3 linked regions of the Mus musculus genome follow. The protein of the gene in region 1 interacts with the protein of each later gene in a pairwise test. Links are inferred from orthologs where the notes say so. Each region holds a gene or a part of one and is shown on either strand. Other genes may lie near its edges.

The links. The genes of interacting proteins can lie anywhere in the genome.
Region 2: the proteins of Snrpa (region 1) and Trir interact in binary tests that used the Homo sapiens proteins (3 or more experiments, as listed by UniProt). The link is inferred for Mus musculus from reciprocal best matches to the Homo sapiens genes SNRPA and TRIR.
Region 3: the proteins of Snrpa (region 1) and Rbm42 interact in a two-hybrid assay, tested with the Homo sapiens proteins (2 studies listed by BioGRID and IntAct). The link is inferred for Mus musculus from reciprocal best matches to the Homo sapiens genes SNRPA and RBM42.

What each region holds. Positions count from the first base shown.
Region 1 is NC_000073.6:27,189,889-27,193,271, forward strand, and holds part of Snrpa (U1 small nuclear ribonucleoprotein A), read right to left. Parts: intron 3,155-3,383; coding exon 2,982-3,154; intron 1,893-2,981; coding exon 1,716-1,892; intron 1-1,715. UniProt on the Homo sapiens protein: Component of the spliceosomal U1 snRNP, which is essential for recognition of the pre-mRNA 5' splice-site and the subsequent assembly of the spliceosome. U1 snRNP is the first snRNP to interact with pre-mRNA.
Region 2 is NC_000074.6:85,025,367-85,029,632, reverse strand, and holds the start of Trir (telomerase RNA component interacting RNase), read right to left. Parts: upstream 2,801-4,266; 5' UTR 2,735-2,800; coding exon 2,399-2,734; intron 211-2,398; coding exon of another isoform or gene 124-210; exon of another isoform or gene 95-123; coding exon 17-94; exon of another isoform or gene 15-16; intron 1-14. UniProt on the Homo sapiens protein: Exoribonuclease that is part of the telomerase RNA 3' end processing complex and which has the ability to cleave all four unpaired RNA nucleotides from the 5' end or 3' end with higher efficiency for purine bases.
Region 3 is NC_000073.6:30,647,429-30,651,484, forward strand, and holds the start of Rbm42 (RNA-binding protein 42), read right to left. Parts: upstream 2,801-4,056; 5' UTR 2,650-2,800; coding exon 2,510-2,649; intron 2,292-2,509; coding exon 2,156-2,291; intron 388-2,155; coding exon 303-387; intron 207-302; coding exon 132-206; intron 1-131. UniProt on the Homo sapiens protein: Binds (via the RRM domain) to the 3'-untranslated region (UTR) of CDKN1A mRNA.

The sequences.
Region 1 (3,383 bases):
AAAAATTACATCTTTAAACAAAAGAAGAGAAAAAAAAAAAAAGAAGAGAGGTGGCTCAGCGGTTCAGACTGTTCTTTCAGAGGACTAACATACACAGGACAAACCACAATTGTTTCTAATTCCAGATCCAAGAGATCTGAGGCACACACATGCATGCAGTCACAAATACTCACAGGTACATACATCTGTATATATTAAAATACACATGCATTAGAAATAAACATTTTAAAATGTAAATTAAAACAAAACAAAAAAAGAGCCAGCAAGGTGGTTTAGCAGGCAAAGGCACCTGCCCGTAAGCCTGATAACCCGAGCTCAAGCCCAGGATCCAATAGGGTGGAAGAGAATTGCTTCGAGTTCTGACCTCCACTCATGTCCATGGGCATGAACACTCGTGAACACACATAATTAAGCAAAAATGTAACTTAAAAATGAAAATAAATCAGAGATGGAAAGTTTGAGAACAGAAGTGATCTGCAGGACAAAACAAGACACACAGCTACCACCACTAGCTGCAAAGTGTGACACAACCCGAGGACCAGGAGACAAAGACAGGAGGCGGCACAATTCAGCTGTCTTTTACCCACAGCGCTTCAGGTGCCCATCGCAGAATGGCGTGCCACTTCTTTCTTTCCTTCCTTTCTTTTTTTTTTGGTGTTTTGAGACAGGGTTTCTCTGTGTAGCCCTGGCTGTCCTCGAACTCAGAAATCCGCCTGCCTCTGCCTCCGCCTCCCGAGTGCTGGGAGTAAAGGTGTGCGCCACCACTTCCCGGCGGATGTCATGTCTTATTGGGTCAGCTTGAGTTCTCAAAATGAGGGCCAGAATAACCTCAACCTCCCAGTTGCTAGACTGCAGATATGTGCTATACCACCCTCCCAGGGCACGCGTCAACGCTGACACACAGTACAAGGTAAATTTTCCTTCTTTCATTTCAGGTGCTGGGGGTTGAACCCAGGACCTTATGTGAACTAGCCACACCTAGTCCTAGGCAGGGCTAAACTTTTCTCCTGTAGATCCAACTGCCCTGCATCAACACAAGGACTCTGCCATGCCTTATTAGACATCTCTCTCTATCCACAGGCCTACAGCAGGTCATCTTGAAGGCAGAGTTGGTTCCCTCCTCCTTCCACGGGACACAATAACTGAACTCAGGTCCCCTGGCTCGCTTGCAAGCACTTTACCAGCACAGATAGCATCATGATCAGGTCTGCCTTAGATCTTGTGCAGGCCCCACGTCCTACAACGGCACCACAGGAAGCCTACCAAGCATTTATTTACTTCTGTAGTAATAGCTTAGCTTACTGCAGGGAAACAACTAACTCTTCATTCCTTCTCCTGCTCATAGTACTGCGGATTGGATGTACAGTCTCCCACAGGCTACGTCAATTTTTGTAGTTTATAATCCATTAGTCTCTCTAAATGAAATTTGCCTATTTCCAATAGTAGGCTGGTAAATTTTTACTTTCTATAAAGACATGGACTTAGCATGAGCATGCACAAACATGAACTCGCAAACACACACACACTGAAGTAAAGATACACAAAACCAAACCAAACTCAAAAAAGAAAATTAGGAGACAGACCTTCCCAACACTCCAGGGTACGCAGGAGAGAGAGAGGCCTGCTCCATCCATCTGGCTCCCCCAACAATGGGACAATCCCCTCACTCTACCCCACACAAAGCCATGTGGGACACTTTTCTGCACCCTGCTTACCGGTACGGGCTGGACAGCCCCCACCACGGGCGCAGCTGCCCCACCCTGAACAGCCTTTTTGGCAGCAGGTGTCTCCTGACTCTTGGGCTTCCTCTTCTCTCGTTTGCGATCTCTCTCCACATAGGTGCCCTTCATCTTGGCAATGATGTCCGAGTCAGTCTTTGCGTACTGGATGCGCTACCAATCAAGAGCAAAAAGGCCCAGGGCATGTAAATCAGGGAAAACTGCTAGCGTTCAAAATGAGACATCAAAGGAGCTTGCTAAGAAAAATCAGAGACTGATTGGTGACAACTTCCTTGTCTGTAAAATGGGGATATTTTCCACTTGGCCAGATTATTGTAGAAACTTATTGGAAGCAGCAATAGCTGGACTATAGGAAGCAGCTGTAACTGTAAGCTAGAATAGGCGCTTACAAGCTCTCCTAGGAAGAACCCAGAACACATGCTCAGACACATACTTAAACATTTTGAGACAGGGTCTCACCATATAGCTCTGGCCTGAGGTCCCAGGAATGTTACAAAGTAAACCTTTCAAATACAATGGTCAGGAAAAGTGGAAAAACAAAAGGAAGGGGTGAGAATCCTGTGGACACTGAGCATCCACCTAGCAAGAGAACAGCCAGAAAGTGAAGGGATGAGAAAGCTGGGCCTGGGATCCTAGACTGCACTTCTGCCTAGCTGTGCTGAGGATTAGAGGAGCGAGGAGGCAAGGTCACATGGACAAGGGGGACCCTTTGTGCTATTCTAGGAAGCTGTAAGGAGGGACGAGCACTCTCAGAAGAAGCTGTGCTGCGGAGACAGGGCTGGGTGTGTGGAGGAGCACTTGGGGGTGAGGGACAAGCAAGCAGAGGCGTGGTTAGAACAAGGCTTCAGTGGAGGTGGGCAGTCCAGGCAACAGCTACAGTGATAGAATGTCTGTAGGTACGGAAGACAAGTGCTGCTCAGAATCCGTTCTTCACTTGGGTTCCACCATAGTTCTGTGGTGTTTTAGGCAGGTTCCAACTCTGCAGTCCAGGTTGGGTTGAAACTCTTGGCAATCCTCCTGCCTCAGCCTCATAAGCCACCACACTCAGATACTCGATCAGTCTGTGACCCCACAGCCCCCGTATAAGGAACACAGGATGAAAGGAACAACAAAAAAAAGTAGCATCCTTAGGGACCAGCATAGGCCACAGGAGGCCCATAGCCACCCAGTCTCCTCCCACACAAACACATCAGCCTATACACATGCACACAAACACACAAACTTCACGCTCAAGACACTCACCATGGGCTTGTCGTAGAAAGGGAAGCCCTGCATGGAGCGCAGGGCATTGGTGGCGCTGGTGACCTCCTTGAAGATGACGAAGGCCTGGCCCCTCATCTTCATGATCCGAGACACCAGGATATCCAGGATCTGGCCAAACTGGGAGAAGATGGCATACAGGGACTTCTTGAGCTCTGCATTTAGGGAAGACAAGACACACTGTGACAAATGGCTGGACACTGTGTCCTGGTACTTGCACTATCCTCAGAGGTGGACCAGCCAGGCATGGTGGCGCACACCTTTAATCCCAGCACTTGCAAGGCAGAGGCAGTAAGATCCCTGAGAATCTGAGGCCAGTCTGGTCTACAAACCAAGTCCTGGACAGCCAGGATTGGCTACACTGAGAAACCCTGGCTGGGGATT
Region 2 (4,266 bases), on another chromosome or scaffold:
TGGGCAGCCCACTCACCTCATCCTCCGTCTTCTGCTTCTTGGCTACTATTCCCGTCTTGAGGGCTAGTTTGTTCCCGCCTCTGCGCTTGCCCACCTGGGTGAAGGGACAGAAGACTGCAAGGGTTACAGGAGCCGGGCCCGCCCTTGGCGGTGCTGAGGCCCACTACACCTTCCTAGCGACGCCTCGCCCAGCTCCTCCAGCCGGCCGACCTGCGCAGCAATCAGAGAGGAGCACACTCGACTCAGCACCTGCCCTGGGCTGCCATGCCCAGGCAGTCCTGGGCCCCAGGCTACCCTCCCAGGGGGGGCAGAGGAGTGCTGACCTTGCTGGGAACTGGCTCTGTCCTCACTCTTTCTGCCAGGCCTCACACTGTCCTGTCAGGGACCACACAGCTTCCTTTATTGAGCTTCACTATCTATTGAGCCCTACAGACCACACAGAGCGCTGTGACCGTGGTATCTCCTCTCATATTCACAGTTATGCTATTTGAAGGTAATAACTATCTCCTTTTAGAAATAAAGACAAGTTTCTGGGAGAAATAGGACAGGCTGCCAACAACAGACTCAGGATCAGATGTGCAAGGCCAGCGGGAGCACCCTGAACCACAAAGCATCCCTCATTCTCCTACCCTGAGCTGGCCTGGCGTTTTTAGGAATATAATGACAATGGCTACTCAGGAATAAGTCAAAGAGGCAGTGACACCACTGTTGCTCCTATTCCTGGACTGTCACATCAACCCAGGCCCTGTTACTTTCCACTTCCTCTAAGAACAGTCTGGCTCTGGGTTTTCACCCTGGCCCCATGTTCTCCCTTTAACTGGGGGCCTTCAAGAGATTATCCTGTTCTTACCCTTTAACTAGGCAGTGACTGCTGGACTATTCCCACAATCGCTTTTGTGCAATACTGCAGGTGGAATCTAGGATCCCATGCATTCAAAGCGATCTTCTGCTGAGTTAAATCCCCAGATCTCGTTTCTGAGACGGGGTCTCACTAAGTTGCTCAGGCTGGCTCTGAACTCATTCTGGACGTCAGATCCTTTCACGTCAGATCCTTTCTCAGCTCCTGAGTAGCTGATACTACAGGCACACACTACTGGACACACACACACACACACACACACACACACACACACACACACACACACTGTGTTGTTTTTAGAAACAATGTAACCTTTGTTCAGACTCTGCAATCCTCCTGCCTCAAGCACCACAGTGCTAGGATTCCATGTATGTGCCACTTTGGAGGCTCACACACACCCCCTTTTAAGACCTAAACAAACTTAAGCCTTACCCCAAACCACAGAACTGGATCCAAGATTTGACCCACAGTCTGTTATTCTCAAACCAACATTTCTTCCTCCCCACTACAAGGTCTCAACATCAGAGACAAAGCAAGCTCAAAACTAACAGAGTATATGTCCAACTTATTTAACCCGAGGCTCCTCAACATGACACTTGACATTTTCAGCTAGATCATTCTTTGTTATCCCTTGCGTTATAGGATACAGAAGAGCATCCCTGCTATCTACCTATAGATGTCACTAGCATCTCCTCTTAAGAGTTTGACAACCAAAATGTCTACAGACTTTACCAAATACATGAGGATGAAGAGACTTGCTCCCAGTAGAGAACCACTGGTCTTGTTCTTTAAGAGTCTGTTCTGACTTTCCTAGGACCACTTCATGAAATACATCAAAATCTCAATTATTAGAACTACAGAAAATCAGGATAGGCCACCCACACTCCAAACAAACAACGTTCTTTTCTGTCAAAGACACCACCAATAAATACTCAGCACAAGATAAGGTGCTAAATAAATGGACATTAGTTAAATAATAAAGAAAGGAATCGATTGATCTTGCTAAGGCCACAAAGTCGGTGATTTGCTTTTTGTTATTGGTTGGTTGGTTTTGTTTAGTTGGGACAAGGTCTCACTTTTTCGAATTCTCCTCTTCTTGCATCCGGAGTGCTTGTAATACAAGGCGTGTACCACCACGCCCGGCTACGGTCCGTGGTCCGAGTCGAGTCTAACGATTACAGCAGACTCGGGATTTAAATGTGTCTCCTCTTTTTCCCCCACATTATATGTGGGCCTCACTATTCAAAGTCTGGGTACAAATCAAACGGGAATCCTAGCATCTAGGGCCCCCTAACCCCAGAGCGCTGCTTCCAATGCAATTTCCCGGTTCTCAGGTCCCACGAATGAGATCTAAGGATTCCCATTCCCGCCCAGAAACACCTCTGGTCCGGAATCCAGGCTCGAGATTCTCAGCAAGCGACCGGGACCGTCCAGGCAGCCGGGCGGAGGACTGCCTTGGACCATGACGCCCCTTCCCGGGCCCGACTCCCCCAGCCAACGCGGGCCCCGGCGCCCGCCCCCACCCCCGCGGCTCCTTACGAAGCTGAGCGTGGGGCCTGGGCCGCCCTTCCTCTTCGGATTCCCTGGGCCCGCCGCGGCGGAGGCCGGTGGATCGGGTCGCTGCGGGCCCGGGGGTGGCTCCTCCTGCCGCTGCCGCTGCTCCTCCTCCATCTTCCGCTTGAACAGCTCCAGGAAGCTGCCATCGTTGGCAAACAAGTTCACACCGCTGGACACCGGACTCGAGCCCGACACCTCGTCGTCCCCACTCTCGGGTGACGTTCCCGGTCCCGACTCAGCCCATCGGCTCCTGCCGCTGCCCGCCGGGCCGGGCGCCTCCCGACCCGGAGGCTCCGCCCGTCTCCCTCGGGCAGCCATTTTGTGGCCAGATGCCGTGCAAAGGACGTCGGGAAAGGCTCTCAGACCGCGCGCTTGGCGCGGGACTGGCTTCGTCTGGAGCAATGCATGCTGGGAAGAGAGGTCGGAACCCAGAAGCCAACGCAGAGTGGGCGGAGCTTAGGTGGGGCCAAAGGGTTCTGACCTGGCCACCAGGCGATGGAGCCCAGAAGCCGGTCCCTTTCCTTCTGGTCCTCGGTTCCCTAATCCTGCTAGATACGAGTTAGCTAAGCAGCCAGAAGCTCCCCGAGAATGGGACCATCGTTTGGGACCCAGGCCCCCTGTAAGGGCTAAGAGAACAATCCCAGGCAGCCACCAGAACTCTGTAACTGAACGGATCTTGTTTGGAGCCTGTGTTTTCAATTGTCCCTTGGGAACTTGTGTGGCCCCTAACTAGGTCTACAAAGCATATCTAACTTGATACCTCCTATTAGAATGGAAGCATCTCCAGGTTTGACATCTGTCTCTGAAGTTAATCTCTTAGCTTGAAATAAAAATACCGCTGGCAGCGGGGCGTGGTGGCGCACGCCTTTAATCCCAGCACTCAGGAGGCAGAGGCAGGCGGATTTCTGAGTTCGAGGCCAGCCTGGTCTACAAAGTGAGTTCCAGGACAGCCAGGGCTACACAAAGAAACCCTGTCTCGAAAAACCAAAAAGAAAGAAAGAAAGAAAGAAAACCGCTGGCTGCGTGCAGCTAGACACTGCCTGAGATTAGTATTTAAAGAGGCTGGAGCACTAAAATGAAGCCGAACGTATTTCCAGGCTGAGAACCTAAGACTTAATGTTTTGAGCTGCGTACTGCATGAAGGGACTAAGGACCCTTGTATTCTTTCCCAAGGACAGGGACTCGATTAAAATTGCATTTGCTGAACTTGGAGCACACCCAGAGAGAAAGCAGAGTGCCAAGCGCAATAAGAGTTTCAGAAATTAAAGTTCTTTCTACAAGGACGACTTGTTGCAGGAATCATTCCTGCCCAACATGGGAGTTCCGGGAACACAGGGGGAAAGTCTGCATACTCTGCAGCAAATGGAGTCTTTTAATCGACCCTCAGCCAAATAACCAGTTCGTTCGTAATTGGTTTGCGACAGAAACCATGTGGCTCACAACCAACTGGGTAACTGGAGGACCGGAAGAGATGTTGAGGTCCAACACAGAAAGTAAGGGGGAAATGATAATCAGGAAACTGAGCCTATGGAATCAAGAGCTACCTCTGCTCTAACTTCACGCAAAAAGCTTGGCCAGGATGTTTGCCTGGTTGCTAAGGAGAGGTTGACGCCTGCAGGGACTTGAGCGTGACTAGTGGAAGTAAGACAAGATTCATCCAATGAAAAGAGTGCCGCAAGACTCAGGGCCCAATCAGTGAAGAGCAGTAGTCTGGGTCATACCAATATGTCCGCGAGACAGGGGAATCCTTAGAAAACTACAGACAAAAGTTCACAAAGGTGAGCCCTTGACTCATAAAATGGTGAAAAGATAGCGCTCATTATCTCCAAATGTCAATGCAGGAGTAAAAT
Region 3 (4,056 bases), about 3.5 Mb from region 1:
ACATGGTCAGGGATGTACTGAGTGAAGACAGTATCAGGATGGAGATAGGGATCTGCAGCAGGGCAGAGCCAGAGTTCTTGAACCCAGACAAGTGTGCCTGGCCAAAAGTGAGGTCTTGGTCCCCAACCTACCTGCTCGCCTCAGGAACATGGCCTCTCGAGCCTCAGGACTGTCCAGGTGACCACGATCGGCAGGGCCAAAGCCAACTGTGGGGAGGAAGAGATGAGGATGGTGGGAGGCAACCTTTGGGCACCCCCTTTTACCACCCTGCCTGAAACAGGACCCCTCATTTTGTCACTTACCTGGGCCCACAAAAGGAGGGCCTCCCACCATGGGAGGAACAACTGTGGCTGCAGCAGCTGCCCTGGCCTCCAGAGTCTGTTGGACCTATTGGGGAGGAGTTGTGGCTCAGAGATGCTGGCTCCCCTGGCAGGTTAATACTTTTACCCTTTATTTTATGGGTCTGGTGACCAGTCAGAGTCTGCTACAAGGTCTCTTCACTGGGGCTTCTGTCGCCATACTAAATAAAGCTATTTTTGTTGTTTTTGTTTGTTTTTCAAGACAGGGTTTCTCTGTGTAACCCTGGCTGTCCTGTGACTCCATCTGTAGATCAGGCTGACCTCAGACTCACAAAGATCTGCCTCTGACTTCCAAGTGCTGGGATTAAAGGCATGTGCCACCACCACTTAATAGCTTAAGCTTTTATTATTAATATCTCCCAGGATCAACTTTTCTGACTCAGTTCCCTACAGCACTATCTCCCATCCAAGGACTAACCAGGGCCCTGTGATTTCTGAGAGCAGGTATGTTCAGAGTGAGGCTGCAGACCCCACACTATCTTAACTAATGTTCGACCTGTTCTCCCTGTTGTCTACCTCTACCTTACCTAGATTATTAGCCTCTTTCTCCATCTCCTTGAACTCACCCTTGCTCTCTCTAGTATATTATCAAGACAGCCAAAGCTACATGCTTAACCTATAAGTTGGACCATTACCACCCACCTTAGAATTCTCTAGTAGTTCCTCATTTCATCTTAAAGTGGCTCAGAAGACCCTGCTAGATCTAGCTTCCATCACTGTTTTAATCTTCTCCATTTTCCCTTTTGTTTGCTCCTCTCTAGCCACTGACCTCTCTGCTGTTGCATGAACAAGACAATGCTGTCTCAGTCTTTGCATGGACAACTTTTTGCCTGGGATAACATCACTCCAGACATCTGCATGGTTCAGTCATCTCATTTATATCTTTGCTTTACTAATACCAGATCAAAAAGGCCTTCCCTGACTGCTAATAAAACTCTTACCACTTTGTAAGGTCAAAGAAACAACGGGAACTTTTCTGTTTTGTTTTCTCCTATACACCCCTTGCTTAGAACAGTGCCTAGTGCTGAGAAGGCACAAGAGTGCCTTTGATCTTTTTTGTTCCCTCCACAATGCAAGGGATTGAACCCACGGCTTTGACATGCCAGGCATGAGATTATTACTAAGCTGCATCCCAGCCCACCTAATAACTGTGAACAGAATAAACACGTTTTCTCTGCTGGTGTTCCTCTAAATAGTTCCCCCCTGTTTCCTTCTTTCCTCGGCTTCTTTCTTACAGCTGACTATTAAGCACCTGGAATATTATCCATGAGTCTTGGGAATGACAACACAGATATACATTTTAATATTGTTTTGGTTTTTTTGTGGTGGTAGTGGGCTTAGAAAATAGGACTCTGCCAGGCTAAGTGCTCTACCACTGAACTACACCCCAAATCTGTGAATAAAAACTTTCAAGAGATTTTTTTTTTTGTTTGTTTTTCGAGACAGGGTTTCTCTGTATAGCCCTGGCTGTCCTGGAACTCACTCTGTAGACCAGACTGGCCTCGAACTCAGAAATCCACCTGCCTCTGCCTCCCGAGTGCTGGGATTAAAGGTGTGCGCCACCATGCCTGGCTCAAGAGATGTTTATATAGAATAATCTAACACTGCAGAAAGTTCTACCGGACAGGCACTGTAGAATATTAGTTTCCAATGGATTAAATATACTGTCTTGCATCCTGAGTCCCTGGCACTTAAGTGGTCATGCCAGCCAAAACATCAATCGCTGTCCATAGATAAGCCCTTATTGGGACCAAACCATTCTGTTCTCCCGACTCAAGCTGTAGCTCTCACCTTACCTGTTGGTATGTGTTGGTGGCGATAATTGGGCGGATCACAGGAGCTGGGGGGACCTGCATCGCTTCTACCGTGGGCACCGCAGGCACAGCAGTTGGGATTCCGGTCACCGGAGCTCCCAATACTTCTTGCTCAAACCTGGGGGAGCGGGACAGATACCATAGGTCAGGTCTCACCAAGCCTGAGGTGCTGGGTACTTCTCCACCGCGCCTTCATCCCAGCTAATGCCTCCCCGCATCCCTCGGGTCCCACGGCCCCTTATGGAACCACATCTCAACCTTCTGAAGACCTGGAGGCTACAGGGTTAATTGGGTTTGCCCGGGAACAGCTTTTATTTCTCCTACTCAGGGCCTTACAGGGCCATCTCCGCCTCCATTTCTTTCAAGCGTTCCTCGCCGCTCTTGCCCGGGATGCCGACACCAGGCCCCGGGACCACCGGCCCTCCCGCCACCGGGAGTCCCGGAGCCGGCCCTGCTCCGGCCATCGCTGATGCCATAGCCTTCACCGCTCCTTCCAGCAGCCGCAGCGGGTTCTACGGTCGAGTCCCTGTCGTCTCAGGGTGGGAGCCGGCCGATGACGTATGGACTACCGCGACGGATGCGCTGCGTGAGGACGTAGTTTAAGAACAGGGGCTGAGACTTGGCCACACCCCCAGAGCGAGCAAAAGCCAATTAGAGTGTCGGAAAGTCAGGGCCCCGGAAGGGCCTCTAATCTGACAGACGCGGCTGTACGGATAGGCCCCGCCCTCGTAGAGAAAGGTGGGCGAATGAGAGCGAAGCAACGTCACTTTGACCCACCCCGCTGTGGAAGCCGGAACTTTGAGGAGGCACGGAAGTTCGGAGGTCCTTCCAGAAGTTTGTAAACACTGCAAAGCCAGGGTAGGAGTCTTTTGCACTCGGTGGACAGATACACTGCCAGGGGTCAGTTCATTATTCTTTTTTTGAATAAAATTTAATTTTACTGACTACCTCCATGGTTTTCTTTTTTTCATTTTGGGGTTTGGTTTGGTTTTGAGCCCAGGTATGGAACTTCCTAGGTTGACATAGGCTTTCAAGTGCTGGGATTATGGATACAGAACAAAATATTGGCTTTTAAAAAAGATTTATTTATTATTATATCTAACTACACTGTAGCTGTCAGACACACCAGAAGAGGGTGTCAGATCCCATTACAGATGGTTGTAAGCCACCATGTTGTTGCTGGGAATTGAACTCAGGACCTCTGGAAGAGCAGTCAGTGCTCTTAACTGCTGAGCCATCTCTCCAGCCCCCCAAATATTGGCTTTTATACTAGAGATATCTAGAGAGAAGTGTGGAGGTACATGTCTTTAATCCCATAATTTAGGAGATAGCCATGCAGATCTCTGGATTTAAGGTCAATCTACAGAGCAAGTTCCAGGACAGCCAAGCTTAGGCAATGAGGGAGGTGGAAAACAGAAAGCTGGTAATAGAATGGGGTTGGGGGTGGGGTGATGTTCCAGCATGTGGCTCTGGCTTTAGAGTGAAAAAGAGAAGAGACTACTGGGACAATTGATGCTGGTTAGCTGGAGCTAAGAAATTAGCGGTGATTAAGAAGAGACCAGCTGAGCCGGGTGTGGTGGCGCACGCCTTTAATCCCAGCACTCGGGAGGCAGAGGCAGGTGGATTTCTGAGTTCGAGGCCAGCCTGGTCTACAGAGTGAGTTCCAGGACAGCCAGGGCTACACAGAGAAACCCTGTCTTGGAAAAAAACAAACAAACAAACAAACAAAAGAGACCAGCATCTGGGGCTGTAGAGATGGCTCAGCGGTTAAGAGTACCAGATGCTCTTCCAGAGGACCTGGGTTCAATTCTCAGCAACCACATGGTGACTCCCAACCATCTGTAATGGGATCTAATGCCCTCTTCTGGTGTGTCTGAAGACAG